Tamandua tetradactyla: one gene and its partners. The protein of the gene in region 3 interacts with the protein of the main gene of each other region in a pairwise test. Links are inferred from orthologs where the notes say so. Each region holds a gene or a part of one and is shown on either strand. Other genes may lie near its edges.

Region 1 (7,648 bases), on a different chromosome or scaffold from region 3:
ATATCATAAATTGTTAGAAGGCAAAATCTATGGTTTTCAACTTTGTTCTTCTCCAAACTGCCCAGGACTACCTCGCACAGTGAGCTCTCAAACACAGTTGCCAACTTGAATATATGCTTTCCCAGGATTTTCTTTATAGGTTGGCTTTCAAGTCACAATTAGTCTCTCAAGCCATTGTATCAATAAAATATTTTACTTATGCTCTGGTGTCCCAGATGATTCAAGCTGAACTCTTCTATACTACCTCAGTATATAAAAACTGTCCTAATTTCAGGGGTTCTCTCCTATGAAGGTCTATTTTCATACCTTATCTCTCTTTCAAGCCTCACACCAACTAAGCAAGATTCTCCACCTTACACTGTCATAAAAACTAAAATTTATAAAACCACAAAATAAAACAAATATTTCCTTGGCTCAGAGTTAACTTGCTAGAAAATAGGCAAAATATTGTGGTACTTCTGAATTGCTGCAGAGTAACTAAAAATTGCAAATAACTGAATACAAAGAAAAGGAAATATGCTTGAGAACTCCCCAAATACATACATAAAATATGGAGTTCTTATGAGTCCTCCCTTGATAATAATTGATACTGTCAAAAAACATTATCATTTGCTACTGAACTCTATCATGTTCAAGTAGGCCACTTTTCTTAAATACATGTCAATTCACTCCAAAAAGCTTCTATGTCTCTATGTCAACCAGGGGACTGGAAGTTAAGAACACAAAGATGAAAATAATATAAAGTTTTATCCTCATAAAACAAATAATGTCAATACAGTCATCTCCGCTTTAATACACCCTCTCTGCACTGCTTTCTTTGTCCCTGTTATTTCCATAGCAATGATTTTGTCCAGATTACTTGCTATTTGTATTAGAAAAACAGATTAAAAAAATTTTTTTTTAATAAAAAAGCAAAACATTCTCCTCTGATGAGAGGGAAAGGTGGCTGGGAAGGAAAGTAGCAATTTTCACCTTTACTCTCCCATGAAAAAAATCACCAATCTGGCATGCATGTCTTTCCAAGCCCACCTAACATACAATGTGGGAACAAACTCAAAATAAAAGTAGGCCTCTTGTAAAAGTGGCACTTACAAAGAGAAAAGGCAAATCATGCATGTCATATTTTATCAGGAGAAACAAGTCTTTACATCATGAAAACATTTAAAAATACTCCAGGATATAATATTAGCATTTAAATTTTAAGAACCTGTCTTATTGATCCAAAGAGCATGATCCTGTCTCTGCAATGACAAAGCTAAAAATGTTATCTATCACTAATAAGGGTGAATCACAGCAGCCACCTACTCCACCCAATATCCACCCTTGCTAACACTGAACAGCTTAAAACCTAGAAAGCCTTGCTTGTCTGCTTCAAGCCAGAAATGAATTCATTTCAATATATTAGCATTTTAACTATACACCATAGCAGGAAAATGTTAGTAAATGGTAAAATTTACCGGGACAGCAGTTTCTTCTTTAGATTTAGGTGTGTCTTTTTCACATTTACTGAACTTCCCTCCCTCCCGTTTTTAACAGAGAATCTTATTTGAAAAATAAGGTATCTATTCAGATTTTTGAAGTAAATTTCTATGACTAAGTTTGGAAGGAAAACCTACTACTACATCGTCACGTCCAAACGCTGCCTGCACCGTATTTCAACTGTTGGAAGCCTATGCATCGATTAAATATATTGGAAAGGGTCACAAGTCTCCTTAGTACGCAGTTTCCCAGCTGACAACACTCTTTACAATCTTGTACAAATCCTGTATAAATCTACTTGGATGTTTAAAAGTTACATTGCGCGATATGTGGGTAAAGATTTACTCACCCCTGAAAAACCAGTTTCTGGAGTCCCAAGAACACAAGCAGCCTATACTGTGGAAACTCAGGCTAATCTTCTCAAAACCTCTACGTGGGCACACAAATCAGGCCAACCCTCGGCCACATTTCTTAGCTCTTCCCATGAAAATTCCCAAGGAGAGGCATAACACAAAAGGGCCCGGGGCGCCCTATTCGCCTCGCACGCCGCCGAGACACCAAAATCGAGACTCACCAGGACCGTGGTGCAGATGGATCTCAGTTCCGACTCCACTTTCTCCCGATAGTCCTTAATCAGCTGCAACTTCTTGTCGGAGGTGTCAGTCTTCTGCTCGATGCTGGAGATGACCCTCCAGGCGGACCGGCGGCCCCCGACCACGTTCTTGTAGGCCACCGAGAGCAGATTGCGCTCCTCGTTGGACAGCTCGGCCCCCTGCTCAGTCACGGCCTTCATGCAGGTGGCCATGTCGTCGTAGCGCTCGGCCTGCTCGGCCAGTTTCGCCTTCTGGATGAGCTCCGTCTTCTCCATGGCGCGTGGGTCTGGGGTCTGCGTGCGGGGCTGGGGGAGGCGTCGGGCCCGGCAGAGAGCGCGCGAGGCTCGGACGGCTGCGAGCAGCGACCCGGATCAGGAAGCGGCCTCCTCGACAGCCTGCGGGGAGGAGAGAACAAAAAGGAGGGGGAGGCGGGCGGGCGCGCTATCAGACAATGCGCCCCGCACCCCGCCCAGCGCGGCGCCCGGCCCCCACCGCGCCGAGCCGCCCTCCTTTTGTCTCGGCCGACGCCGCCGAGTTGAATTTCCCTCCCACCGCCCGGGCACCGGGGTGAGAGGCCGAGGGCGGGGAAAGGCCGGCAGGAAGGGCCACTCCCGTCAGCGCCGCCCGGCCCGGGAAGCCCAAGATGGAAGCGGCCGTTAGCCCCGCACCTTACCCCCGCCGGGAGCCGTCCCTGAGGAGCGAGGCGTCGAGAAGTCGGGCCGCGGTCGAGGGCCGGGTCGCCAACCCCTGCCCTCAGGCCCAGGGGAGACCGCCCGAGAGGCGGGGGAGCGGCCCCAGCACTTACCTTTCCCTGCCTTCGCGGCCGCAGCGCAACTCCTACCGCTCGGATCCGCTCTGGGATTGAGCGAAGGACCCTCCCGTCTCAGCCTACCCCAGAGCCGAAGGGACAGCCCGCCCTCGTTGCCGCTGCCCAATGATGCGCTGAGCTTCCCCCCGCGAGTCCCGCCTCCCGCCCCGGTTCTGGCCAATGAAGCCTGAGCGCGCGGAAGGGGGCGAAGGCGGGGCCGCGCGGGAGGAGAGAGCGGAGCCTAGGAGGGTGGGTCGTCTTGGGGAAGTTCGGTTGGCCGGTAGGCTGCGGCTTCGGCCACGGGGTTTCCTCCAATTAGGTCCAGGGTAAAAGGACGTCACTGTTGCCATGGTGATGCTCTTACCCACTCCCTTCATCTTCCCCGCCGGCCCCCGGCCCTTGTGGGTGCGGCACGAGACCCAGCGAGTGGTTCGCGCGACCTCTCCGGCCGTGCCCGCGTGGCCTTCCGCGACGGATGCGTGGCATCTCGCCAGCTGGTTCAGCTAGCCGCGCTGCTTGGCCCTGACCGAGGCTCAGCTTGGGAGGGCGACATAGTCGGCTGTTAAGTGGCACAAACGCTTTTCTTTCTTCCACCCTCGTATTCGTGACAAAGGTTTGGGGATCAACACACTAAATCCAGCCTTTAACGACGCTGCTATTAGGACTGCGAATTAGAAACAAAAATCTTATCCTCACTAAAGAGGCTTTCGTTCCTAGGGAAAGTGACTTAAGTTTGGCTTTTACATGATAAATGCAAGTTTTCATTCGGGCACCAAACCCTAAAATTCCCTTGTCAAAAGGTAGATCTGAAGGGGTCAAGGCAAATCTCATCTGCAATGCTATATTAAAATATATATATATATTTTAATGCCACATGACATTAAGGACAATTTGGAGAAAAATACACATAACTTCCCCCTCCCCCAAAGCAACTAATTTTAAATTTCTTTCCAGCTTTTCCAGATATACAACGGTTTTCACATCATTGTCTTATGTGTACACACTTTAAATTTTCTAGCATTATTTAGATGACGCTTCAAAAGTCAAAATTCTCTTCTTAGGTGGTTTCTGATTTTTCCTCATAATGAAGATCCTTCTGGAATGAGAAAGGTTGCCCCAGATGCCTTCTATTCAGGATGGTCCCTACCATTTTCCTTTCCCTTTAACTAGGCTATTCTCTGGCGGCCACTCCCTTCTCTCCTGGCATTTCACTAGTCCTCCAACTCCTGTTCTATGGATATGGGAAGTGGGCTTTATGCCATCTTGGGAGGAAAATTGCCATCTGGGCTCATGCTGCTACGATTCCAATTCCAACTGTCCAATAGAGAATGGATTGTTGAAAGCCAAGGAATGCCATAGTGGAGAAAGAATTTCAAATTCTAAGCAGCGACCGGAGCAAATTTGGAGAATTTCTAGAATGGAAGATCTGGGAGTGCATACAGATGGGAGGAGAAAGTGCAGGCTTTCCAGAAATGTAAACTCTCCCAGCTGCCCCCTCCCTGTCCTGCCTTCTAAAGGTTGCTTTGTATTTTGACAGACAGGAGAGGCCTGGTTTGGAAGGGGCCCGGGTCCTAAAGCAGAAATGCCTTGCTGTGTTCCAGTGTTCCTAGGGAGGGCCATGCTGTTATTTCTGGAATCCCTGGGGCTAGCCTGTAGACACACAAGTGGTTATGGCCTTGTGGGCTGGGGTGGAGCTGGACACCGAGAAATCCCAATGGAAAGAATTTGCATGTGGAAGGTCAGATAAAATGCTTTCTGTATGACCAGTGCATTGCATTACAAGTTTACCGAAATTAGAGACAGACCTGATGGACACACCAGAGGAAATGAGAGAGAGAGAGAGAGAGAGAGAGAGAGGGAAAGTGTGTATGTGTGTGTGTGTGTGTGTGTGTGTGTGTGTGTATGTGTGTGTGTTGGGGCGGGGGGGCATTTGGGGGGTTTGGACCTCTGTGGTAAGAAGAGCTGGGTTACCTGGAAGGGGCAAGCACACTAAATTCTTTGTCAGAAAGTCTGGGCTGCTGCCATCTCCTTGGATGTCCTTAAGGCAAGTTTTTGCTGTTTTCTGTACCTCAGTCTGTTCTATAAAATTTCTGCTTTCATTCCATCATTAAATGTTTATTTCGAGCACCTACCTCGAATTGTTAGGATCATCTGGAAATGTAGGTGGAAAACTGCTTCAAAAATATGACTCCCTATGAAATTGTAAAGTATTTGAGGAGAATCAAGAAGGATACATACATACACCTCAAAGTATGTATTAGCATTATTTAGATGACGCTTCAAAAGTCAAAATTCTCTTCTTAGGTGGTTTCTGATTTTTCCTCATAATGAAGATCCTTCTGGAGTGAGAAAGAACTTGGGTCCTCTACACCTCAAAAACTTGGGTCAGAGAAAAATAAAGCTCTGGAAGCTTAATGTCCCTGGACACATAAAGAGTTGATGCTTATTTAGAAATTACCTGTGTCAAACACTGTCTTTTGCAAGTATTAGCTCATTTAATCTGCTTAGTAGTGCCGTGAAGTAGGTTCTGTTATGAGCACTAGCTCCATTTCGCAGAGAAGGAAACTGAGGTACAGTTATGCTTCAGGCTTACACAGTAAGTGGCAGAGCCTCGATTTGGACCCGGGTGGTGTAGGCGCCAAAGCCCGTTCTTGTAACCTTTACACTGTAGCTATGTCATCCAGTCTCCCAGCATCATTGCTAGGTGTTGTGGAGGGTTCTAGAAAGAACCAGACTAGCTTCTGTCTTCTAGGAGTTTCATTCTAGAAAATGTGAAACGTGGGAAACACCCGCATCCAACACACCAGGAAGGACTCTAGGGAACAGACAGCTAACAAAGTACTGGGGAGTTATTATCTTATTTATCTGATGTTCTTGTGATGTTTTTTTTCTAAACTACTTGGTGAGCAGCTTCTGCAGGGGGGCGGGGGGGGGGGGAGCACCCTGGATTTGAAGTCAGTTTGACCATGGACATCTTATGATTGTCTCTGAACCCTGGTTTCCTAACCTGTCACAATCATCCCAACCTCAAAGCACTGTGGTGGGAGATGAAATAAGGTACCGTATAGAAAGATGCTGAACATAAAGCGTTAGTAAATATTCGTTTCTTTCTTTCTTTCCCTCCTCTTAGGGGCTGGGTAAAGTGAGAGGGAGGGAGGTGGTGTCCTGCCAGCCTGGAGGAGACTGATAAGAGGTTAGTGGAAGCTTATCTCTTGAATCATTGTTGCAATTAGTGGAGTTAATGGCCTGCAGAATGCCTCCATTCAATGTGCATCCCAGAATGAATGAGTCCTCCTGGTTGAGTTTACTCTCCTAAATTGTTTATTTGCTGGGAACAGTGAATCATCACAGGGGAGCCTCTTTCTCTCCTGCCATATGGCAGGTAATGCTGACAAACATTTGAGGGAGACTTTTCACCCCAAATTCATATCTAACTACTCACAATACTTCTCTTTAACGGGCAGTTTGAAAGTTGCAACCCACTCCCCACCACGCCTTGAGGAGCTAAATGGAGATTCACACCGAGACTAGGACAGGTGGGGAAATCAAATAGAGTCTGGCCAGGGAAAAATTATTCCTACGCATTCCATCTCAGGGCCAGGATCCAGCCTGTAAATTCAGTTTTCCTTCAGGCTGTGCAGTGGGCCAGGCGTAATCCTGTCACCTGCAGGCTCCCTTCTCTCTGTGCCAGTGGTTGCCCTCGCTCCAGCGTCTCCTTGCTCCGCTCACCCACACCTCGTTTTAAGGCTCTCTTCTTTCTTACTGCACTGTGTGCTCCCAGGGAAAAAAAAAATCTAGTAGACTCATTCCATCACGTAAAAATTTGGTAAGTCTTCAAGCGACATTTCTTCTGCCATTATTTGCATTTTAAGAGGAAAAGAAGCTCTTGAATTGGAAGAATAAAACGTTAGCAATAGGGTACTTGGGTAGTTTAGTGGTTAGAATGCCCGCCTTCCATGCTGGAGACCCAGGTTTGATTCCTGGACCATGTACCCCATTCCACCCCACCCCCCCCCAAAAAAAACCCACTTTCACAGTGGAGTTTCAGGCATACTAATCGGCGTTCAGTGAGCCTGCCCCTTGGGGAAGGACTCTAACATTCTGATTTTTAGCCAACATTTCCCATAGGCCAGGCAATAGAGTTGCTCCTTTCTTTTTTAATTGTGTAAGGGTGATAATGTTGATGATCATTGTCAAGGGAGAGGACAGAGGAATTGAGAGGTACCTCTGAGAGGTAACCACTGTTAACATTTTGGTGGCCTCCTTCTAGAATAAATCTCTTTTCCTTTGTACACCCATAGCTATATGCATGCCCTTTTATACGCCCGAGAACACATTATTCCCATTGTTCAGCAGCTTGGTTTTTTTTTCCTTTTAAAAATTGCTCTATTAACTTTACATCTTTCCATTCAAATGGGTAAAAATTTACTTCTGATGAAAACTTAAACGGGATGCAAAGGCAATCTCCAATGAAGAGCTGGTAACACAAGCCCACTGACTCAGGGAAATAGCATAAGGTCCACAGATAAGAGATCGGCAAAAGTTTATCAGGAAAATGCAAAGAAAAAGAAAAAGCCAGCGGGAATCCCAGTTTCATCTCATGGAAAATGGCAGGAGTCAAGGCATAAGGCAGAATTCCTCACGATGGTCATGGTGATGGGAGAGCTCTCCACAAGGATACACAGAAAGTTCCCCAACCGCAGCTTTCTCCTGATTTCTTTCACTTCCTCCATGAACATTTCCATGTCAACTCCGTCTCCACCCAGCC
Region 2 (6,806 bases), on a different chromosome or scaffold from region 3:
AGACATAGCCATGGGTAGCATCTGATCCCTTTGCCCAACGACAAAAGCAAGACAGCAAAGCCAAGAAAGGCAGATACGGAGCCTTCAGACCCCAGATCCAGACACCCTGTGCCCTGGGAATCCCGACACATTGCCGACCCACTCCCCCAAGCAGGAAAAGCCAATGCCTTCAAAATAAACGGTCTTTTTATTGTGTGTCCACGAAAACAAAGTTGGGGTGGCCTCTGGTGACTCCTCCACAGTGGTGACATGAACAGGACGCATGCATGAAAACAACAGCTATGTGCTCCTTGGAAGGAACAGCGGCAGGTCCTGCCAGGGCCCCACAGGTTCAAGGCAAACAGGGCCAGGAGACCCCGCTGGGCCCAGCAAGTGAGGAAGGCCTGAGCCTGCCACCTCCCCAGCAGGATGAGGCAGAAGGGGGAGGGGACCAAAGCACTGATCTGGGCCAGGCCTAGCTCCCCAAAAGATAGAAACACACAGGTAAGCTCCCACCCCCCACCCCCACCCCCACCCCCACCAAAACACTGCTAAGGCAGTTGAGCCAGGTCTTCTGAGAAGAGCTGGCCAGGAAACCAGGCCCTCAGGGCTCCATCCAAAAGGGGTTGCCCTCTTCGGCCTGCATTGAGTAGTAAACGAACACCAGGAAGGCAGCAAAGACCAAGAAAAGGAGCAGCTGGCCCCAAAGCGGGACCTGGCGCTCCTGCCCCAACCCTGCCCCAGGGGCCTGCTTTTCGGGCCGGATGGCCCGGCGGGTCAGCCACGAAGGTGGGGAAGAGGAGGAAGAGGAGGCTGAGGAGGTGGAGGAGGATGTAGGGTAATAGGACGGGCCCAGGGAGTTCCTGCCCATGTTCGAAAGCGGGCGGTAGTGCGCGATGCTCTGGTACGCGCTGTCCCGGGCGTACGAGGGGCACTCCCTGAGGCAGAGAGGGGCACAGGTAAGCCAGGCTGGACCCGGCCCAGGATTGGCTCCCGCCCCTGCCCCCTGCGCCCAGCCTTCCCTCCTGGGGCGCTCCCCGCTGCTCACCTCTCCTTGCTCTCCTCTTCAGAAGAGGAGAAATGGTTGTCATCCTGCACCTGGAAGAGATAGTCAAGGTGAGGGGCAGAGCTGGCCAGCCTGCTCTAACCGCTGCTTCAAGGTTAAGGGCCCTAAGCCCTCCAAGACCTCTCTGGGCTTTGCCACTTGCTCAGTGACTGTCCTGGCTGCCTCTGTTCCCCAGGACTGAGAACCAGCTCAAACCCAGAGCCCAGACCAGGGTGCAGGTGTGCACTGGCTGGGGCGGGGTCTGGTCCACCAGTGTCAACACCCCTGCCCCCACCCCCCAACCAGGGCACTGCTTGGCCCCCACTCCTCCTGGGACGCCAGGGAACTGGGAAGGAGCCCCCCATGTCCACCCCCTGACCCCATGGCTTTATCCAGTTCTGCCCAAGTTCTGGCTCACCTGTTGGTGAAAGGTGTCGGCATCCTGGAGTGAGGTTCGGGGCTCCCGGAAGCCCTCGGATGTGCCCCCGGAACTAGACTCCCCATAAGTCTCGGTACTCAGGTAACTCTCCTCATAGTAGTCGTCGTTGTAGCCTTGAGGAGAGGCAGGGGGTGGGTAGCACAGGCTCCGTCAGTAGCCCCCCCATCCGGCTGGTGGCCCTCACCTGAATTCTGCACTTTGGGGGTGACACTAATCTCTCCCCTCCAGGGCCGGGTGGGAACTGAGATCTCAGGCCCTCCTAAGACCAGAGTCCACGGCAGAGTGGGGCGAGGGTCTCAGGGTGCCCCCTCCCCAGCACCCCCCCAGCACCCCTCCCTGCCTTACCCTTGCTCTGGTACAGCAAGTCATCCTCTTTCTTGGGCAGGTCGTACATATCCGAGTCCACCGAGGCTGAATCCAGGTCTGGGGACCGAGGGGGCAGGGACCGAGGGGACATCTGAGCTCAGGTCTCCCCGCCCCCAGGCGCAGGTGGCCCTCCTGGCCCGGACCCTGGCTTCCCGGCCGCCCCAGCCGGGTCCCCTCCGGTGGCAAGGGGCCCTGGGTGGTCTGGGATTGGGGGGAGGGGAGGAAAGGGCTCACCCGAGAAGCGATACGAGAACGACGAGGAGGAGGAGGAGTTCGGGGGCGAGAGTCGGCGCCTCTGGGTTTCGTACTCGAAGATTTTCTTCTCGTAGAGCTTGCGGGTGGAGCCTGGGCACAGACAGAGCCCGGGGCGCGTCAGTGGCACAGGGAGGCCACCCTCCCGCCCGCAGCCCGCCCGCCCGCCCGCAGGCAGCGTACCCACGATGGGCCCGTGCGGGATGTTGTACTGGCGCAGCACGGCCACCAGCTCGGCGTCCGACAGAACCGCGTAGTCGTCCATGGCGAGGCCGGCCCTGGGCCTCGGGCGGGCGGCGGCGACGGCGGCGGAGGCCTGGGAGGCAGGCCGGGCTGGGGGACGCGGACTGGCAACGGTAGCCTGGGAGCGCGGCGACGGGTGCGAGGCAACCGCTCGACCACGTCACGACCGCGTCTCCGCGGCCCAGGCCTGCGCGCTGCCGGGTGGGGGGCGGGGGGTCGGGAGCGAGGCGCGGGGGCGCAGCCGGCGCAGACCGGTCTGGAAGTGGGGGCGGGCGGCGCCGGGGCGGGAGAGCCGGGCCCGAACGTGAGAGCGGGCGGGGCCGGCAGGCGGTGACTTCACAAACGAGAGGGTACGGGCTGCGCGCGGGAGGGGGCGGGGCCTGCGTGGGCGCCGAAGCGGCGCGTTCGGACCTGGACGTGGGGGCGGGGCGGGGCTGAGGAGCGCAGACGTCACTAGCTGGTATGTTCGGGCTAGAAGCGGAAGTGGGGCGGGGCCTCCGCGGGAGCCGAAACCCCGCCGACCGGCCGGGACGTGGGAGTGGGGCGGGGCTGGCGAGCCAAGACGTCACACCCTGGCGTGCCCGGGCTAGACGTGGGAGAGGGGCGGGGCCTGCGCGGGAACCAGAGCGGTGCAGGCCAGGGTGTATCAGGGAGGGCGGTGCGACTGCGCGCCCGAGGGAGGGGCGGAGCCTGCGAACAAAGACGTCACACGCTGGTGTGTACGGGCAGACATGGGAGCGGGGCGGGGCGTGCTCGGGAGCCCAACCGGCGGAAACCGGTCAGGCTAGCGGGGCAGGGCGGCGCGCTGGAAGTGGCTCGTGCGCCCTGAGTCACGTGGGCAGAGGCGCCTCAGTCCCTCCGCCCTGGTCACTGTCCCCTTCCCCAGGCTTCGGGATAAAGGGGCTCCTCAGGCCCGGAGATACTTGGAGAGCCCCGGCTCCGGGCAGGGCTTGTTCCCGGGCGCTCTGCACGCGGCAAGCGAGGGAAGCCACCGCCAGCTAGGGCCGCGACTCTAAGGCCCGCCACCTCCTAGACCCCTGTCCCCTCCCTGGCCCACGCACCTGTGCCCGTCCCGCACTCACCACCTCCCTCCCGCCTGCGCTCGCAGGAAAGGGGGCACTGGGCCAGGAGGCCGCAGGCATTCCAGGGACAACCAGCCTTCCAAGGGGCCCGGGCCGGCTAGCACTCACTGGCACGGGACGCTGACATGACGCGTGCTGGGACAGCGTGTGCCCGCCACCCCACCTGCCGGCCTTCCCCGAGGGAGGGGGGGGCTTCCTCTCCTGTGGGAATGGCCCTTGAGCTGAGTGGGACAGAGGTGGCCTAGCAGGGCCCCCCGCGGAGGGGGTTGGCTCTCGAGTCAGATGGACCTGTCAGAGGGGTCTGAGCCCGCTGCAGGGACAATGGCAGGACGGGTGGCCAAAGGAGGGGTGTGGATGGCGTGCAAACCGCAGAAGCCTGCCGAGGCCTGCTGAGGTTACACGGAGTGTGGCTGGGAGGAGATAAAGACCTTGCTCGGAAAGAGACTGTCCGCTGGAGTGTGGGGAGGGGCTGGCAGTCCTCTTCTAAACAAAGCCGGCCTAATGGGGTGTGGGGCAAACTGGGGTGCACCCCGGGGAGCCCGGAGAGAAGAGTCACCTGCCCTACTGGATGACCCGTCTTGGCTGCAGATAAAGAGGGAGGGCTCCAGGCAGACCCAGGCTGGTCTGCCCAGCCGTGGGGGCCACAGACTGGTTCTGGATGGAGGTTTACCCAGTGGGGGTGGGGACTGAACCACAGACAGAGACCCTTCTGAAGAGTCACCGTGGCCCAGGGTTGAAAAGACAAGGTCCGTCCTGGCCCTGCCCTGTCTCCTGCTGCATGGAGGGGAGGCAAGCGGGTCTGTGACAACACCGTTCTCTGCAGAAGGAGGAGATGCTAGCCCTAGAACAGGGGGCCTGCTCCTGATCCCTCAGCAGAGCAGAGGAGGGGAGGGTGATCTGGGCTCCAGGCTGGGCATAGTTTCGTGTTTTGGCAAGATCAGATGCCCCAGCACCTCCGAGAACCTTCTTTTGCAATGCTGGCCCCTCTCCCAGAGGCCCGCGTGTACAGAGCCGTTCTGGCCGCTCTGTCCTCCCCCCCTCGCCGCCCCTCCCCACGCGGATCCAAGCTGTTTCCTTTTGCGGTCAAGGAATTCTAGGTTTGCCTTCTCCCCAAGGAACACAGTCCCCCATCCCACCCCCGGCACCTGCCCCAGCACTCTTTTGTGCCCCCTCCCCATAAGGTCTCACCGCAGATGACTCCAGGAGGCTGAACTGTGGGCGGTCCCCCTGTGCCCACCCAGTGGGCACCTGGAGCCCACGTCCAGTCCCATTGCCAGTGCAGCTCCACCCCAGACCACCAGTAACTAGGTGAAGCCTTGACCATCAGAGTTAACAGGCCCTCTGCAACATCCCCCACCCCCACACTATATAGTGGAGAATCAGGGGCCCAGAGAGGGGAAGAGACTTTCACTCTTGAAAGTTATAGGCAATGAAACATATCTACTGGAATACATTTCTCAGCATCCATGTACAGGGAGGCAGTCATTCATTGAGCTATAAACAATGTTTTCTTTAAAATCAGAATGTTGTTCAACATGAAAAGAGACGAGCCTTAACTTTTCTCTTCAGGCTATTCAAGATCCTTTGGGTTTTAGCTGCTTTTCGAATCCCTTGACACATCGCTCAGATGGTGTACGAAGTCATGCGATGAGGATTGTGGTGAAAAATAATGCGTCGATGATTGTCACAATCGCTATAAAACTTTGAATGGAGAGCTGCCCATTCAAAGCATTGTGTCTGGGCCCTAGGACGCATCAGCTCATCTTAATGCTCTGGGGATGGCTGGGTGGAGAGGCAGCTTGCCCTGGCGGTTAGGAATGGTGATTCGGGTGCTTTCCCTGTCTCTTCCACGCCATGGCTTTCATTGATTATGATCTTCACCAGGGAACAGCTAGTGCTGTACAACCCATTCCACCCAGACTTGGAACAGGTCGAGATGCCGAAGAGCTGCATGTGTTTGCAGTGTGGGCTTGGGGAAGGGGGTGTGAGTGTAAAGAGGGAGTTCCAGTGGAGGTGGGAGTCTGGAGACTCCACAGAGCCACCCCTGCGCCCCTTCCAGCAATGGCACTCCTAGCCTGGTTGGCACCTGCTTTTGGCCTGTGGGTGTCCCTCCCCAATGGACTGACACGGCCATGAGTCCCAGTAGCCCCCTTCTGGACCTGGGGATCTCTGAGCTCATCTTCACTCCTAGTGAAGTTGCCCCACTGCCATGACCCCACCCCAGCCCGGGCACTGTGGGTCCAGCTGCAAAAGAAAAGTCTTATTTTCTGAAAATGTGTTTCAGTTCTTTAGTGTGTGCGCGCGCTGGTTCAGGATGTAAAACGGAATCCTTATGGGATGGTGGGCGATGTGGTAAAAAGACAGCGCTTTATGTGGACTTCCTAAGAGAAAGTGGCGTTTGATGTGGAACCGCACCTTGGAGGCAATGGGCATGGAGAAAAGGAAGGTGTGGCAGGTCTGTGCCCGCCCAGCTCACGGACCCTTGGCTCTTGGCTGCACCCTCCTGCGCTCTCCCAAGCTCTGGGACTGTGTCTAACGGGCCCTCTGCAGGAGGGGACTGCTGAGAAGTCCGTGGGTTTCCGCTGCACGCCCCTAGGTCAGCCTGGCACCCAACAGGGGTCAAGCACATGGTGGCTGTTAAGACTGCCCCCTCCATTCAGCTCTGCCCCAGGCCTTTCATCTAGTAGATGCTCAGTGGACACCTGCCCCTGCCTTTGACCTACCCCGTCCCCTACTTCTTCCCTCCCAGGGCAACAGAAACCGATTTGCTTTCCCAGCCCGGGCTGGAGCAGAGGATGGTGGGTGCAGAGGGCCCTGACTCTGGGGAGTGGGGGTGGGCTTCCTGGAGGAGGTGGCCTTGGAGCTGGGCCTTTCTGCCTGGGGAGCCCTTGGCTCCCCCAAACGCAGCAAGCCGATGTCTAAAGGGCTGGGCTGAGACGTGGGCCCTGCAGACCCCGCGGGAGCTCGAAGCAAGCACCCACCCCCACCCCCCCTCCCCCAGCGCTGGCGGCCCTAGCCGGGTGGTGAGCTCATCCCTCATCTGGGGTGGGGGGGCGGCGTCGCCAGTACAGCCCGGGCGCACGAGCTCCCGCGCACCCCCGCCCCCCGGCTCCTGGGCGATTTTACCAATTAAGGCTTTCTCTGCGGGCCGGGCCGGGCCGAGCCCGGGCGCGGGGCGGGGGGTGCGGCCAACAAGAAGGCGGGCGGCGGCGGGCCATTCGCGTGGAGGCGCGCGGCGCTCAGCGAACACCGGCACAGCCCGGAGGCGCGAGCGCGAAGGCAAGCCGGGCGCCAACCCACGGTCGCCGGCCACCCGCAGGGACAGCAGGTGAGGAGTCAGAAGCCGGGCTCTGCGCTGCTCGCGGGTCTTGGCCGGGTCGGGCCGTGAGGCTGGTGGCTA
Region 3 (7,935 bases):
TGAACTGCTCTTTGAACAAGAGTAAAGCAGCCCTGGAACTGGGACCACCCTGGGCCTATCTGCTGGCCTGGGGGTTGGGGGCGGGGAAGTTCCTGTCGGACAGAAGCAATATCACTGGACGCTAATGTCAGACAAGCCCACCTGGGGACTGTCATGGATCAAAACACAATCATGTCTGAACCAGACAAAAATAGGAACGTTACTCAAACCACAAAATTGACCAGACATCTGTCTCTCCCAGTTAACACCAGTTCCTGCTTCTTTACCAATGGCAACTGGGGGGCTCACCTGGTCCCCCTGCCTTCTAGGTAAGACTTAGTGCGACACCCACTAAGAGGTCCCCCCCCCCACCTCCTCACCTACTTCGAGCCCCAGTCCTATACTTTATTGACACCCTCTGACTGAGACACCTCACAGTTTCCTGGGGTGCCTCCCTTGTTGCAGTGGGTCAATACATCCACTTTTGTTCCAATTACAGTGTATTCTTGCTTGTTTCTGCCTGGAGGTTATGGACATTATTATTTGTGTACGTCGGTTGGAACCCAGGAGTTGGGGCAGGAGACAGGGCCTCTCCCAGGGCAGGAGCTCAGTAGCTATGCCAGTTCTAGAGCCCATGAGCTCTGCCCCCTGGACCAGGCAGTGACGGTTAGAAGTGAGCTGGAAGGCACCACTTCTCTCAGCCTGTTGCTTCATCTGTGAATCAAGGCCCACAATAGTACTTCCTTCGTGAGGTTTCTACAAAGAGAAAAATCTATGCTATGTGCCTAGATGCTGGTACATAATTATAATGGTGCATGTGGCTGTTGTAATTACTCCTGTCCGCGGCCAGCCAGCTCATGTCCACAGCAGAGGAAACTAGCGGTCAAGTCCGTGCAAAGTGTGTGCTTCTAGCGTCTTGTGTGTGTGTGTTTAAGATGCTTTGTCTAATTATGTTATGCTGAATGTTTTTGGGGCTTGTTTCCTGGAATGTAAGCATTCTAGGTGAAATAAAGCTTACTTGTAAAATACAAGTGTAGCTTCTAAAGGCTCCAATCAGAGCAAAAGCAGTTCATGAAAAGACACGGTTTGCTGTGGGAATGAAGGAGTGGACAGAAACAGTTTGTGGCTGTGCCTATCCCTTCACCTCTGATCCCATTAGCAAGGTTTGGATTTTGGTCTTGATTCCATGGCTGTTCCCCCTGCCTTGACCTTCTTGCGTTTCCTGTACGTCCCTGTCCCCAGATGGTTCTAACGCACAGCACAGTGTGGGAGCCACTGGTCTTACCATCCTCTCAAAGCTCCTGCCGAGCTCATCGCCCCCCTTGCTGCTGAAATGGGCTTAGCAAATCTGTGTTGCTGACACGCAGAGAGCAAGGCGGTTGTGCGGAGAGGGGGTGTGGACTCTACTCTCCACACCCTAGAGTGTTCTGACATGCACCCGGAATTCCTGGACTCTCTAGTCACGCGTGCACCAATGAGAAGCCCATTGGTGGAGAGCGTCCCAGCCACTAAGCATCTACTAAGTGCTTGAATGCAAGACGGATTGTACTCCTCCCCCAGAGCCACCGCAACTTTGCTCATAGAATTGCTTTTCTAGCCTCAGAAAGATCCAAACTTACCTCCTGCTTCTCTGTCTCACCAAATTCTGTCATCTTATGGGGCTGAGCTTTGATCTGTTCTCCTCTGAGAAGTCTGCCCACATTACTCCATACCTTCCTCACATGTGACATAAAAGACTGGCCTGGCCAGACCAGGGAGGGGCTGTGTAATGCCTGGCATGGAGGGTGAACGCCCCAACTGAGACTGTAGGTGCTGTGACTTTTGGATAGGAAAGAGCAGAAGGCAGATAGGAGTTCAAAGGGGGATGCAGTACTTATATAGGGGTCTAAACTCGCCTGTGGATGTGATTATTTTGCCCAGTTAATGGTGCAGATGTCATGCTCAGTGGAGGAAGAACGACTTATATTTTAATACTGCCCAGCAGATTACAAAGCCTATTCAGTCATCCTCAGGCCTCTGTACCCTGGCACGCATGGGTGCCTTTGCTTTGCAGTACAGCCTTTTAAAGTTAAGATCAAAGACTCTGGGTTCAGATCCTGACATCTCAATAGCTGTGTGATCCTGGGCAAATGAACCTCTCAAAGGCTTGATTTCATCATCAGTTCAGTGTGGGTGGTGGGAGGGTTAGGTGGGGTCGTGCAGGCAGTGCCTGGTAGTGATGGTGCCCTAATACCCAGTACCCGCTGCTGTGCCCGTGCACAGATGAGCAAGTGGAGGCCAGGAGAGTGCAGCTCCTCCTCACCATTAGAGCTTGGATTTGAAACTCTGGCCTGCACGTGGTTTATGGCTGTTTGGGATACACTTAATGTTACAAAAGAGTGGGCATCTGTTTTTCAGATGGAGAGACAGGCTTAGGGGTGCACCGGCCTTGTCCCCCGGCTCTCCTTAGCCCATTGGGTGCTGGCACTTACGAGGTGCGGATGCTCTTGAGGCGGCCCCTGCGGAAGGTGATGGTGGCGTTGCGGCAGCAGCGACTCTCATAGTAGTGGCACATGAGGTTGCTGCTGGCCATGCAGCAGTACTTGCAGTTGGGGTCATTGGCCCAGGAGCAGCAACACCAGTGGCAGTTGGGGTTCTCGGAGCAGGTGCAGTGGCAGCACTGACAGTTGCGCTCATCCTTGTAGGGGCAGGGGAAACAGGTGCAGTTGCGCTCCGAGGTGAAGAGGAACTTGCAGCACAGACAGGAGCACAGCTGGGGACAACACCTCTGCCATGTACAGCAGGGTGAGCAGACACACATAGCGGTCTCCATGGCGCCTACATGATTGCACCCTGCCCCCTGGGGCTTGTGGTCCCTCCTCTACCAGAATCCTGCCGTGGCTCCCCCCGCCCGAGGAGTTGGTCAGCTTGGCGGCTGAGCAGGTCGGCTGTGGCAAGGCCTTCACAGGTGGTGTCCTTACTAGGAAGCTCAGGGGCTGGCATATGCATGTATCAGCTGGAGGGCCTTTGCTTATGTCACAATTCCTGTCTCCCTACCACCTCTCACCACCCTGGGTAGGTGGGGCAGCAGTGGGGACACCTGGCAGCAAGGTGAGCTGATGGACAATCCATGCTTCCACAGGACCAGCTTCAGGAAGTGATGCAATGACATCCTAGAGGTTTAGCTGTCATTTGTCACCTCTGGGTTATAGATCAGATTTCAGAATCTAATTCTCCTTGCTTCTGTGACTGCAGTTTGGACAAGCTGACTCCAGGTACGTCTTCATAGGCTGAAAGGTCTGGATATGATTGTGAATATAGACTGACATGTTTTTTCTCTCTTCTTCTTCTTTCTTTCTTTATTTATTTTTGCATAGATAGAGCTATCTATTTGATGAACAAAGCACAGTGTTTACAAATATTAGCAATGTCACATTTAAAAATATAATGGAGAAAGAACTAAAGGAAAAGAAGAATTAGGTACAATTAGCACTTCTTTCTGTAGTTGTTGAGTTTGTCATTTGCTGTATAGTCACTGCTGATTTCCAGAAGTCTTCATGCTTAAGTTACCCCAAATATTTCTTGACTTTTCTAATGCTTGATGAGACTCAAGCTGTTTGCTTCCCCCCTGCACTGTCCCCAATATAGCCCTTTTACAAAGTGCAGAATTCTACAGAAGGATCCTTAGTAAATAGACCTTATGTTTTAGAGGAGAATTTTTCTTTGCACCTTATGTGCCTTACAAAGATTAAAGGTCAGAAAGTTCATTGTCATACAGTATTATGACATAAACACTGTGTGAAACAGATGTGAGAATTGAGTGTGGCTGCAGTGTTTTTTTTGCATAATTTATGATCTCTTTCTGTGACCGTCACCTTTTTAATAGAAAAGACTCTTCACTGAGTGCTGACTCGCTGCCAGCCACAAATTGTTTTTACGACCCTTCAAGTGAAAATCCTAGATCACAGAGTATTTGATTTATTTTTTATAGATACTACTAAATTGCTTGCTGAAATGTATGTGTCAGTTTACACTGATACCAACAATGTTTGAAAGACACCTTTTCCCGCATGTCTGCCCAACTGCAATTTTGTCTCTATTTCTTTCTGTCCCCAGGTGCTGAGATCTGAGTTGGTTATGGATTTATGGTGCCTTTTCATCACTGGTCTGTGCAAAGCCTCCTGTTCTTATTAATTGAGACATAATTCAGATCCCATAAAATTTTCCATGTAAAAGTGTACAGTTCAGTGCTTTTAATATATTTGTGTGGTTGTGCAACCATCACCGCTCTCTAATTCCAAAATAGTGTTATCATATCCCCAAAGTGACTGTACCCATTAGCAGCCACTCCTCATCTCACCCACCCACCCCCGGCCCCTGCCCACCACCCGCTACTCTACTTTGTGTCACTGTGATTTTTACCTGTACTGAGTAGTGCATAGAAATGGAATCACTGAATTTGTGGCCTTTTGTGTCTGACTTCTTTCACTTCACATAATATTTTCAAGGTCATCCACACTGTAGCATGTATCAGGTATTTCATTCCTTTTTGAAAGATTTTTATTAGAGAATTTGTGGCTTTACAAACAACTATGCATAAAATACGAGATTCTCATACACCACCAAACCCTCAATATAACTGATGATAGCACTTTAAAAATAATTGTACTATATATATTTTAATAGCAGTTACCTTTGTCACAATTGATGAAAAATTATTAAAATCGTACTATTATGTCATCCGTAATTTACATTAGGTGTATTTTCCCCATTCCTACCCTGTCACTGACACCTTGTATTACTGTTGTATATTTTTTATAATTTATGAAAGAGCATTCTTATACTATTAGCCATAGTCAGTCATCTATAATAGGATTTGCTGTGTTGTACAATCCCATGTCTTATTTTTTAAATTTTATTCTAGTAATATATACATCCTAAAGTTTCCCCTTTTAAACACATTCACCTCTATAGCTCAGTGCTGTTGATGACACACCCAATAATGTGCTCCCATTGCCGCCATCCATTTCCACACCTTAACCATTAGCCTAAATAGAAATTCACACCTTAACTATTAGCCTAAATAGAAGTTCCGTACAAGTCTAAGCATCAAATCCCCATTCTCCAACCCCAGTCTATCTCCAGGTAATTTATATTTAGATAGGAACTCTTTGAGTTTGCTTATTATAATTAGTTCACAAAAGTGAGATCATGCCATATTTGTCTTTTTGTGTCTGGCTAGCATACTGTCCTCCAGGTTCACCCATGTTGTCACGTGCATTAAGACTTCATTCCTTTTTACGGTTGAATAATATTCCATCGTATGTAGACACCACATTTGTTTATCTGTTTATCAGCTGATGGAAACTTGGGTTTCTTCCATCTTTTGGCAATTGTGAATAATGCCTCTATGAGTATCAGTGTACAAATATTTGCTACAGTCCATGGTTTTCAATTCTTCTAGATATAGATACACATACAGTACTGGGATTGCTAAATCACCTCGTTAATTGCACACTTAGCTTCCTGTGGAACTGCCAAACTATCTTCCACAGAGGCTAAACCACTTTACATGAATGAATGCTCTTATTTGCCCACAGCCTCTCCAACACTTCTAGTTTTCTGTTTTTTCTTTAAATAGTGGCCATTGTAGTCAGTGTGAAATGATACCTCATTGCGGTTTTGATTTACATTTCCCTAATCACTAGTGATGTCGAGCATCTCTTCATTTGCGTTTTAGCCATTTATGTATTCTCTTTGGAGAAATGTCTATTCAAGTTTTTTGCCCATTTGTAAATTGGGTTGTTTGTCTTTTAATTGTTGAGTTATAGGGTTTCTTTATATATTTTGGATATTAAATCATTATTGGGTATGTGGCTTCCAAATATTTTTTCCCATTGAGTAGGTGGTCTTTTCAATTTCATGACAAATTCTATTGATGCACAAACATTTTTAGTTTTGAGGAGCTCCCATTTATCTAGTTTTTTTCTTTCACTGCTTGTGTTTTGGATGTAAAGTCTAAGAAACCATTGCCTACTATAAGATCTTGAAGATGCTTACCTACATTTTCTTCTAGAACTTTCATAGTCCTGGTGCATATAAGTAGGTCTTTGATCCATTTTGAGATAATTTTTGTATAGTGTGTGAGATAGGGTCCTCTTTCATTCTTCTGCCTATGGATATCCAGTTCTTCTAACACCATTTGTTGAACAGACTATTCTAAACTTAGCAATCTCATCAAAAATCAATTGGTCTTAGATATGAGAGTCTATTCCTAAGCTCTCATTTGATTTCATTGGTTAATATAATGTCCCTATGGCAGAACCATGATGCTTTGACCATTGTAGCTTTGTAAAAGCTTTAAAGTCAATAAGTGTTTGTCTTACAACTTTGTTCTTTTTTTTCCAAGATATTTTTTTGCTATTGGGGGCCCTTATCCTTCCAAATAAATTTGATAATTGGTTTTTCTATTTCTGTAAAGTAGGCTGTTGGGATTTTGATTGGGATTTCATTGAACCAGATCGCTCATTACTAGTGTATGGAAGCACTACTGATTTTTGCATGTTGAGCTTTTATCCCATCACTTTGTTAAACAGCTTTATTAGCTCTAGTATCTTTGTTGTAGACACTTTGGGACTGTCTGTATAGGATCATGTCATCTGCAGATAGTGACAGTGTCACTTCTTCTTTTCCAATTTAGATGTCTTTTATTTCTTTTTCTTGCTTTACTATTCTGGCTAGAACTTCTAGAGCGGTGGTGACAGTAGGCATCCTTGTCTTATCCCATATCTTGGAGGGAAAGCTTTCACAACCGAGTACAATGCTAGCTCTGGGTTTTCATACATGCCCTTTATCATGTTGAGGAAGTTTCCTTCGATTCCTAGTTGTTGAAGGGTTTCCTCAAGAAAGGATGGTCCCCAATTCTGTGCTTTTCTGGCCTTTCTAGCAAGTGCAGCCCCTCAGCTCATCACCCCCAGAGCCCCCATGAAGCACTGTGTGTTCAAATCTCCACCAAGTCTGCCCCTGTCAAGAGCAAGGTTAAAAAACTGCTGCTGCTGCCTTTTTCCAGGCAGGTTGAAATACAAGCTCAGAGCCAGGACCCAGTGATCCAAATTCACTAATCAAAAGGCATGATCAGTGATCTACTGCACCCACCCCTGTTCTTGGGGAAGAGCATTTTATGTCCCTCTCTGTCCCCAGTGAGGTGGCCTAGGACTGGGCCTCATAGCACCCAGCTGTAAGAGTGGGGAATGGGGGCCAAGAGCCTCTGCTTGAAGAGAGCAACTTGCTGTTCTTTGCCACTGTGGTTTACCAGCCTCTTCCTTCTGCTGGTCTCCAGGGCCCCATAACATTTGTTTCAGATGGTTCCTGCCTGTTTAGTAGCTGTTTGGTGGAAGGACTGCATCCTGGAGCTCCCTACTGTGCTATCTTCCCCAGAAGTTCCCCACCACTTTCTTTTTAATGGCTGAATGATGGTCTATTATATGGATATACCACATTGACATTTGGATTGTTTTCACTATTTGACTATTATGAATAATGGTGCAATGAGCATTCATGTACAAGTGCTTGCATGAACATGTATTTTTAATCCTTTGGGGTATACAGAATTCTTGGTTGGTGGATTTTTTCTTTCAGCACTTCAAATATGTTGTCTCACTATCTTCTGGACTCCAGGGTTTCTATTGAGAAATTGGTTCGTCATCTTAGTAAAAATTCCTTATATATGATGCATTGCTTGACTCTTGCTGTTTTTAAAATTCTGCATTATTCTTGACATTTGATCATAATCTTTGAGCCCATTCCGCTTGGTGTTTAGCATTCATAGCTTTCAGCAAATCTGGGAAGTTTTTAGCAATTAATTCTGCACATTCTTTTTTGCCCCTTTATCTGTCTCTTCTCCTTTTGGGTTCCTATGGTGTATCCATTGTTGTATTTGATGGTGTTCACAGGTTCCTTAGGCTCTGTTCCTTTTCT

Evidence for each region.
Region 1: the proteins of TRIM42 (region 3) and YWHAQ interact in binary tests that used the Homo sapiens proteins (3 or more experiments, as listed by UniProt). The two-hybrid records come from large-scale screens. The link is inferred for Tamandua tetradactyla from reciprocal best matches to the Homo sapiens genes TRIM42 and YWHAQ.
Region 2: the proteins of TRIM42 (region 3) and EMD interact in binary tests that used the Homo sapiens proteins (3 or more experiments, as listed by UniProt). The two-hybrid records come from large-scale screens. The link is inferred for Tamandua tetradactyla from reciprocal best matches to the Homo sapiens genes TRIM42 and EMD.

Annotation. Positions count from the first base shown.
Region 1 is NC_135329.1:55,646,622-55,654,269, forward strand, and holds the start of YWHAQ (14-3-3 protein theta), read right to left. Parts: upstream 3,010-7,648; 5' UTR 2,878-3,009; intron 2,468-2,877; 5' UTR 2,348-2,467; coding exon 2,054-2,347; intron 1-2,053. UniProt on the Homo sapiens protein: Adapter protein implicated in the regulation of a large spectrum of both general and specialized signaling pathways. Binds to a large number of partners, usually by recognition of a phosphoserine or phosphothreonine motif.
Region 2 is NC_135353.1:6,569,384-6,576,189, forward strand, and holds EMD (emerin), read right to left. Parts: upstream 2,509-6,806; 5' UTR 2,347-2,508; coding exon 2,265-2,346; intron 2,175-2,264; coding exon 2,064-2,174; intron 1,887-2,063; coding exon 1,809-1,886; intron 1,577-1,808; coding exon 1,443-1,576; intron 1,078-1,442; coding exon 1,028-1,077; intron 918-1,027; coding exon 584-917; 3' UTR 510-583; downstream 1-509. UniProt on the Homo sapiens protein: Stabilizes and promotes the formation of a nuclear actin cortical network. Stimulates actin polymerization in vitro by binding and stabilizing the pointed end of growing filaments. Inhibits beta-catenin activity by preventing its accumulation in the nucleus.
Region 3 is NC_135341.1:84,768,860-84,776,794, reverse strand, and holds the start of TRIM42 (tripartite motif-containing protein 42), read right to left. Parts: upstream 3,003-7,935; 5' UTR 2,792-3,002; coding exon 2,451-2,791; intron 1-2,450.